Rattus norvegicus: one gene and its partner. The protein of the gene in region 1 interacts with the protein of each later gene in a biochemical or structural test. Links are inferred from orthologs where the notes say so. Each region holds a gene or a part of one and is shown on either strand. Other genes may lie near its edges.

Region 1 (3,810 bases):
AAAAAAGACCCTTGGGCCAGATGAGGTCTCACAGCTCCTCTATGACTAGCATGATTTGATTCCATTGGAGTGGGCCCTTCCTGAAGACTACATGTAAAGTTGAATTGACTACGTGGAGGAAGTGACGTTACCCTGAGGGTCCCTAGAGCATATGAAGGAGTGAGTCTGAGCCGGTTGGTATTTTGGTTGCTAGGTGGGATCCACTCAAGTTCCAGAATGTGCTGATTCATCGAAGGAGTGTGCCTTTTCCTACCTTGATTATTCTTTCTACTTCTTCATTAGATACGTAAACGCTTTCAAATTCATGAGCCTGGAAAGAATCAAAACCTTTGAGGAGCTTTCACCAAATGCCACCTCCATGTTTGAAGTAAGTCATGACAATAACGACGCAGTACTTCCTGTCAGAAATCTCTCCCTGTCTAACACCTACCCCAAGGCAGTGCCTGGCCAGTGAGGGCCAGTGATCTGAAGAGGCCAAGGTTACAGTAGGGGGGAAGAATAGACGCCAGACTTCACTGTGCAGAGCTGATGTGAAAGAGAATGCCACAGTTTGAAGATCTCCTGGAGTTCATTCTAAAGCCATTCCATTCCACCAGCTCTCTAGAGGGGAAGAGGTGTGGCACAATGTGTGTTGCCTAGAATTCTTGTAGGCTAACAATGATGCACCCTTCTTTCTTTAAGAATATAAGATGTGTGAGTGACTGGGCCTTGAGATACAACAGAGGCCTTGTGCAGAAGTCTGAAAGAAGTCCACGTAGGCCCTAGGCCCCTTTAGCAGAAGGCTCTGCAGCTGAGCAGCCATGTTCCCCCACAGTCACACTGGGCAAAGCACACCAGAGTAACCTGGCCAACCAGCAGCTTCTGTCAGCAAGTCTATGGAAAGGCCCTTGAATGGAATTGAGTGGGCTCCTGAGACAAACACAGTGTCGTAATTCAAGAGGAGAAACCTTGAGGCTGGGAGCTGGAGAGATGGCACAGTCGTTAAGAGCACTGGTTGCTCTTCCAGACGATCCTAGTTTGGTTCCCAAAACCAATATGGTTGCTCACAGCCATCTGTAACTCTAGTTCCAGGGGACCTGAAGCCCTGACCTTGGGTACCTGGCATGCATGAAGTGCACATGCATGCAGGGGGAAAAAAAACCCCATATGTATAAGACCTGAACCTCATCAGACTCACAAAGGGTCATGGTGACTTCAAAATATAAAGGCATTTCATTGTAAGCAGTAGGATGCCGGGATAACGTAGTTAGAAATTTTGTGCGGTGGCTCAGTAGTTCAAGTCCCCGGAAATCTTGAGCCAACCTCAAAATTTCTCAAGTTTAGGCTAGCCCTAAAATGTGGCAAACGGTGACAGCACTTTCACTGCCCTGGTGTACAAACAACCCAGTAAGAGCCTCAGCGGGAGGCAGAAACAAAGTGGGACTCCACTTCCTGTTAACAGGATACAACACACCATAGTGACAGTAATGAAAAGCGAGTAGAGAACTCGATGATGACGGTGACTGAACCACACAGTTCCTGGAAACTGTGTCACATAGGGCATACGCCATATGCAAATATGCACACATGGCAAATGCCAGACTCTCTCCGAAAGAAAATTATTCCGCCACATCTATGATTTCCTTGAAATTTTACGTACAACATCAGAGTCCTAGCCAGGTACCAAAGTTAGTTTTAACATGATAATTTGCATACAGGATAATTTGCATATATAATTTGACATATGATAGTGAGTTTTACATGGAAAATACTAAGCAGTTACATACGATTTTCCATCCCAGGTATGTGTGTGTGTCTATGTGCATGCTGTGTGGACCTGCGTGCCTGCCCCGAAATGTATGTGTGGAGCCCATTGACCAAGGTTGGGTGTCTTTCTCAGTTGTTCATCTGACTGGGGTTTTGGTTAATTGATTGGTTTTTTTTTTTTTTTTTTTTTTTTTGGTTCTTTTTTTTCGGAGCTGGGGACCGAACCCAGGGCCTTGTGCTTCCTAGGTAAGCGCTCTACCACTGAGCTAAATCCCCAGCCCCTAATTGATTGGTTTTTAAAGACGGGATCTTTCAGGGAATCAGGAGGTCACAGTTGGGCTAGACAGGCTGGCCAACAAGCTCCAGGAGCTACCTGTCTCCATCATCACCTCCCACCCCAAGGCCTGTGGTGACAGACATGGGTCACAATGCCTGACTTTGATGAGGACTTTGAGGTTCTCATGTGTGATTGGCAAGCACTTATTCCACCGAACCATCTCCTCAGACGCCATGATTTCCTTTTAATTTTCTTCACCTTCTAGAAGGGTCTCAAAGTTGCCCATAACAGGCACTGTTTTTCTGATGAGCTCAAAGATGCCAGGGCAAACAAAATGCTCAGTGCTGGTGGGCAGAGGCTGTGTTTGCTGAGGACAGCACTGGGCCACACCTCAGAGGTGCCTCCAATGTCTTCAGAGTCACCGAGGAGCCTGCCGGGCCAGGCAAGTGGGTCACCTCCCCCTTTCCTCCCTCCCACAGGACTATCATCTGGATACCAGCAGTCTGCTGACCTCCCCCTTGCTGAAGCGATTCACCTGGACTGAGACCAAGCCCAAGGCCTCAATGAAAATAGAGTAAGAAAGGGGGTGTGAGAGGGGGAGGGGAAGGGTGGGAGTTGGGGTGGAGGATGCCAGGAAAGAGGGCTTGTGAGTGAGATGTTTAAGGCTACTTGGCCTCCTGGTGTTTGGGCATGGTAGAAAAGCAACCACCCCCCCAGAGGGACAAGAAAGGGGTCATAAAATTAAGACATATGAACCCCAGGTTCTGTGACAAGGAAGACTGGGGCTTCTTATAACAGGCAGGCTGAGCCTGAGAAATATGGGACCTTGGTGGAAAGGAGCCAGATGTGTCCAGCTGTGGAGGAAGGGTTGGGACGTGTTCACAGACTCACGAGACAACACTTCCCATTTCTGGTCCCTGGGCTAGCAGGGTCTACACAAGGAAGCACAGTCCTGTTTGTAACCTTGAGAATTCAAACTTCTACAATAAGGGTTTTCTGCATCCTGCTGAACCCATTACCCGCATCTCACTTGTAGATGTTCCCACAATCCCCTGGGGCTTGATCCATTGGGCAGTTCTTCCTTCCATTCTGGGTCATTTCGGAATCACCAGGCCCGGGCTGTAGAGTGGACTGGTAGAGATGACCTCAGTGGTTCTCTATGCTGAAGGCTACCCAAGCCTGGCCACTTACCTTCCTACCCACCTACCTTTCCTGGCTCGAATGCCTGGCTCTCAGCTGTGGCAAAGAGCAGCACTGACTGCTCTTGCCGAGGACCCCATTTGACTCCCAGCACCCACGTGGTGGCCAGCAGCCAACTGTTAGCTCTAGTTCCAGGGCATCTGACACCCTCTTCTGGAGTCTGCAGGCACCAGGCACACGTGTGGGACACATAGATACAGGGGAGCACGACACCCACGCGCATAACAGAACACCAGGCTGCCAGTCCCGGTGCTGTAGTTGACTGAGCCTCAACTGAACTCCTACAAACCCCTCCAGTGATGGGATTTGCACAGTCCACCAGGCCACTGGAAAGACGGGCACTCCCAGGCAGATATTTGCCCTTTCCCTGTGATGAAGTCTCAAAAGAAGGCCCTGGTGTCAAAGTCACAGAGTAATGGACCTCAGTGTGTGCAAAGGAAAGAGTAGGCTGGCCGGTCTTTTGTTTCTTATTGAGGATCATGTGGGAGGAAAAGGGTGCAAACCCTAATTTATATCTTCTACCCTGCAATTAAAGATTAACGATCATAGCCAGGCCAGTCCAGGCCGGTCTACCTCCTGTGGCTCAT
Region 2 (3,902 bases), on another chromosome or scaffold:
ACAGTAGTAAAAAATTGATGCCCACGGCTGTACCACACTGCCTCTGACTCTGGTGTTGGCAGGAGCGGATGGTAATACCAGATTTGAATAGCTGGTGTTTCCTCATCCACACCGCAGGCCCGCTTGCCTGTTAGGATTACGGGTGAGCTGACCTACATTCTGAATGTATACCTCCAAGTTTTCTCACCCAGGATCTTGGGAAGTAATATACATTCACGTTTCTTCCAAGGACTCAGGATCTCACAATGTTAGAAAAGAGTCTTTGATTTCAAGAACTTAGTTGAGCTCTCCCATTTTACAGATGAAAAAACAGAGGCTGAGACATCTTTGAAAGCTGGTGCCTGCTCTACATACAAAAGTCCTCAATAATGGATATGGTGTAGGGGTGGGAGATACGACCCTCCTCAGATCCGGGGGAGCATAACACTGTGCCAGTTCCGGAGGGCTCAGAAAACGGGCAAGTTCCTAAAGCTGAGGCAGCTACCTCTCTACCCAGTGGTAGAAGCCCAGTGGTCTGGGCTTCAGATGTGAGAGCAGGCAGAAGAGGGGCTGCTCCCAGGGGGCTGGTGAATAGACAAGAGAGCAGGCAGTTCCCAGCCCCAAAAAGCAATCCAGCTATTATCTGTGCCTATGAGGACACTGCTACAAGTACATCCTTCCTCTCTCCCGTGCTGTCAGAAACCTCGAAATGGTATGTGGCCATCATCCACGTCTCTGAGAAGCAGGAAGGGAGAAGGAGAAAGGGCCTGGAATGATCTCCCTCCCTGCCTTCGGCGCGCTCCTCTCTTTGGCAAAGGTCCCACTGCCCTTTGAAGATTATGTCTTGACACAACCCAGGGCAGAGAGTGAAAGGGCCAGGGAGGGTGTGACAGAGCCCGCCTGTTTGTAATCAATGGAAAGGCCTGGTCAGCGCTGCACAGCTCCACCAGGGTTGGAATGGTAGGGAGGACTCTTCGTCCTGACCAAGCCCCTTGACTGCTTTCCTATGATATCCAGCTCCCAGACTCCAGTCTGGCCTCTGGCACTCAACACAAATCCTGTTCACCAAGACTCCATCTGCACCTTACTGCATGCTGGGCAGGGGCCCTCAGCCAGCTGGAAGAACCCTAGCCATCACGTCCTGCGCTTTCTGTGTGCTTGGTGACCCTAACCCATGACTGCACCTCTCTAGGCTGCGGGGTCACAAGAGGTGAACTCTTGGGCTTCAGCCATGATATCTAGCTTACAGACCCTCTCCAGCTTGCTATCGGCCTGTTCCCACCCTTCAGACCAATCCCTTCTCCTCTGCTGGGGCTCAAGAGGAAAGAAGAGAGGGGCTCAGCTTGCATAGCTGGCCTGGTTGGCTTACCTTCCATTTCTGTTGAGTTGTTCCCAGCAGACAGGGCCCCCTGCGGTGGACACAAAGGTGGAGCTGTGAGGAGGGAGCATCTTCTTGGGGCTCAGCTCTTTGAGCCCACCCTGAGCTCCTTCCTCCCCATCTGCCGCTAAAAACCACCTGACTCTCTGGCCTCAGTTTCTTCAGTTGGAAAAGGGTAGGAGGAGGTTTCTGGGGTTCCAGAGTGCTTGTAATCCTGTGGGGTCTCTCTTCTACCCAGCCCCCAGGCCAGCCCTGCTGGGCCTACTACAGCCCGCCTTGGCTGGGTGCCAGAGCCCAGGGGGAGGTGATCAGCTGGTGGGAGCTCAGGGGCTGGAGAAGGCGGCGCCAGGAGCTGGTGTTGCCTGCCAGTAACGTTACACCTCGAGCGAACACTGCAGCAAGCAGGATGATGGCCTGGCTGCTCGGCAAGGGGGACTGTACAACCCACCCACTCCTGGGCTGGGGCTGAGGGCTCTCAGGGCAGTGGGCAGTGCAGCGGGCAGTGCAGCAGGAAGGGAATGCATTGGCTTTGTCAGGATTTTGCTGCCCAATCTGGCTCGCAGCCAGACTCACCCAGCTCCTGGGAAAAGGGCCCTGCTCGCTTCCCCAGGCCCTGCACTCAGGACCTTCTGACACCCACCAGGAGGAAGGGCATGGCGGGATCCCTTGTCCTATCTGAAGCCCACCCAAGAGCCCCCTGCTCAACTGGAGCAGTGGTGGGGGAAGGGCCTCATCTCCCCACCACAAGCTTCTTTAGCTACAGCTCCTTCCCCACTAGGCCAGGTCAGAGGTCCTGGGGGCGCCTGGTTGGTCATGGGGCCACAACCCTGACCACAGGGCCAGGGAACTGAGTAGGATTAGTGGAAGGATGGTTTTTGCAAAGCCACTAGGGCTCCAGGGGCCAGACAGGAAACCTCCTTCATTCCCTGTGGCTTCCCTGCCCCCACTAAGACAGCCCCCAGGAATTGGGGACAGCCCAGCCAGAGGTCTCCTCCCTGAGGTCCAGCCCAGCCCCTGGGAAATATGTGGGCATCCTAGCAGAAGCTGCTCTCTAAAGTGAGTCTGTAATTTAAGACCATAGCCCCTGTTTCTATGGCTGGGATGAGATGGTCAAGAGGAAGCCAGGCCAGGTTCTTACCTGGGAGTGCACAGCCAACCCAGCTAGGACCTGCAAGAAGCAAGTGAACAGCTTCATGGCCAGCATCTTCTCAGACGTCCAGAGCCAAGGTCCTTCAAGGCAAAATCACCATGCCCGTCCTCCTAGGAGGAGACGCTGATAGGGGAGGAGATGGGTGTCCCGTTCACTGCTGTCCTGAGTCTCTGCAGTCTGCCTGAGCATCCACTGGAAGCCGGGAAAGTCCGGAGCTCACAGGTAGGGCTGTGGCTGAGGAAACTAGTGAGGAGCGTCCCGGTGAGTTGGAGAGATGTGAAAGGGTCTCAGGTGTCCAATGACCCTAGCTCCTCTCGTGGGTGAGCAGAAGTCTGAAGACGCAGTTTCCTTCTCAGACTGCAGCTTCCCTATGAACTGAAGCTAGTCGGCCGCTGGTTTTCAAGGCTGTGCATGGGGCGGGGCTGCAGCCTGCCCCGCCCACTGAGCCCGAGGCCCCAGGAGCAGCTCGGAGCGCTGAGAGCTCGGTTGGCGGTGAGACCTGAGTGCGCGTGACCCCCGCAGGGCGCCGAAGGGGCGCTGCGGGTGCAGATCTCTAGGCCCCTGGAAGCTAGGCGTTAGCTTGCCCCGGGGTCAGCCCGCAGCGACGGCCAAGATTGCACCTGGCTCTTCTAGAGCTTCCAGATGCGGACGTCCAACATCTGCCCTGGAGATGGCTGGATACTTTAGTGGCTTCCGCAGGGACTGCAGTCCTAAGAAGGCAGCATCTTGCTGTGGCCCTTCACGACCAGTGCTGTCCCCATACAACCCCGGGAGGAGGGGGTGAAAGGATTACTAACCCCATTTTATAGACTAACAACCCGATCCGGTGAGAGGGCACCACCTGCAGATGACGAACAATGTTCATATTCACGCTAGGAAAAGTGTCTGTGTGCCCGCGGGCATCTGCCTGCGTGGACAGAGATCTGGCAGAGAAAGAAGGCAAGCTACGTGCCTCCAGAACCGTCCCTCTATTCCATCTACTATCTGACCCGGTAGGCAGGCACAGGGCAGCCCAGCTGTGGGTGGCACACAGGAAACACCCCGGGGCACCTGGCTAGACCCAGCTCTACAACCACTTCCTCTTGTCGGGCCAGGCCAGCCTATCAGAGGTAGGGAATGGACTAACTTGGCATCGCCTCCTGAGCCCAAGTAGAAGAAGAAGTGTTCTAAAGCAGTAGGGACGTGCTGAGGGAGGGTGGTGTCTGCATGGGCATTTGTGTATAACTATGAAGCTGTGTGTATGTGACACACCGTGTGTCACAGATCTGGGTCTTTGGGTATCTCTGCGTACTTGTGTGAGTGTGTGTGTGTGTGTGTGTGTGTGTGTGTGTGTGTTCTGTGTCTGGATTATGTTTTGATGGGATAGTAAGTATGTTACCTGCCAGTGTGTGTCCT

The links.
Region 2: the proteins of Flt1 (region 1) and Pgf are reported together in a solved structure, tested with the Homo sapiens proteins (2 studies listed by BioGRID and IntAct, with this or other methods). The link is inferred for Rattus norvegicus from reciprocal best matches to the Homo sapiens genes FLT1 and PGF.

The regions. Positions count from the first base shown.
Region 1 is NC_086030.1:12,497,350-12,501,159, forward strand, and holds part of Flt1 (vascular endothelial growth factor receptor 1 isoform 1 precursor), read left to right. Parts: intron 1-282; coding exon 283-367; intron 368-2,502; coding exon 2,503-2,597; intron 2,598-3,810. UniProt on the Homo sapiens protein: Tyrosine-protein kinase that acts as a cell-surface receptor for VEGFA, VEGFB and PGF, and plays an essential role in the development of embryonic vasculature, the regulation of angiogenesis, cell survival, cell migration, macrophage function, chemotaxis, and cancer cell invasion.
Region 2 is NC_086024.1:110,554,883-110,558,784, forward strand, and holds the start of Pgf (placenta growth factor precursor), read right to left. Parts: upstream 2,866-3,902; 5' UTR 2,562-2,865; coding exon 2,496-2,561; intron 1,389-2,495; coding exon 1,349-1,388; intron 1-1,348. UniProt on the Homo sapiens protein: Growth factor active in angiogenesis and endothelial cell growth, stimulating their proliferation and migration. It binds to the receptor FLT1/VEGFR-1. Isoform PlGF-2 binds NRP1/neuropilin-1 and NRP2/neuropilin-2 in a heparin-dependent manner.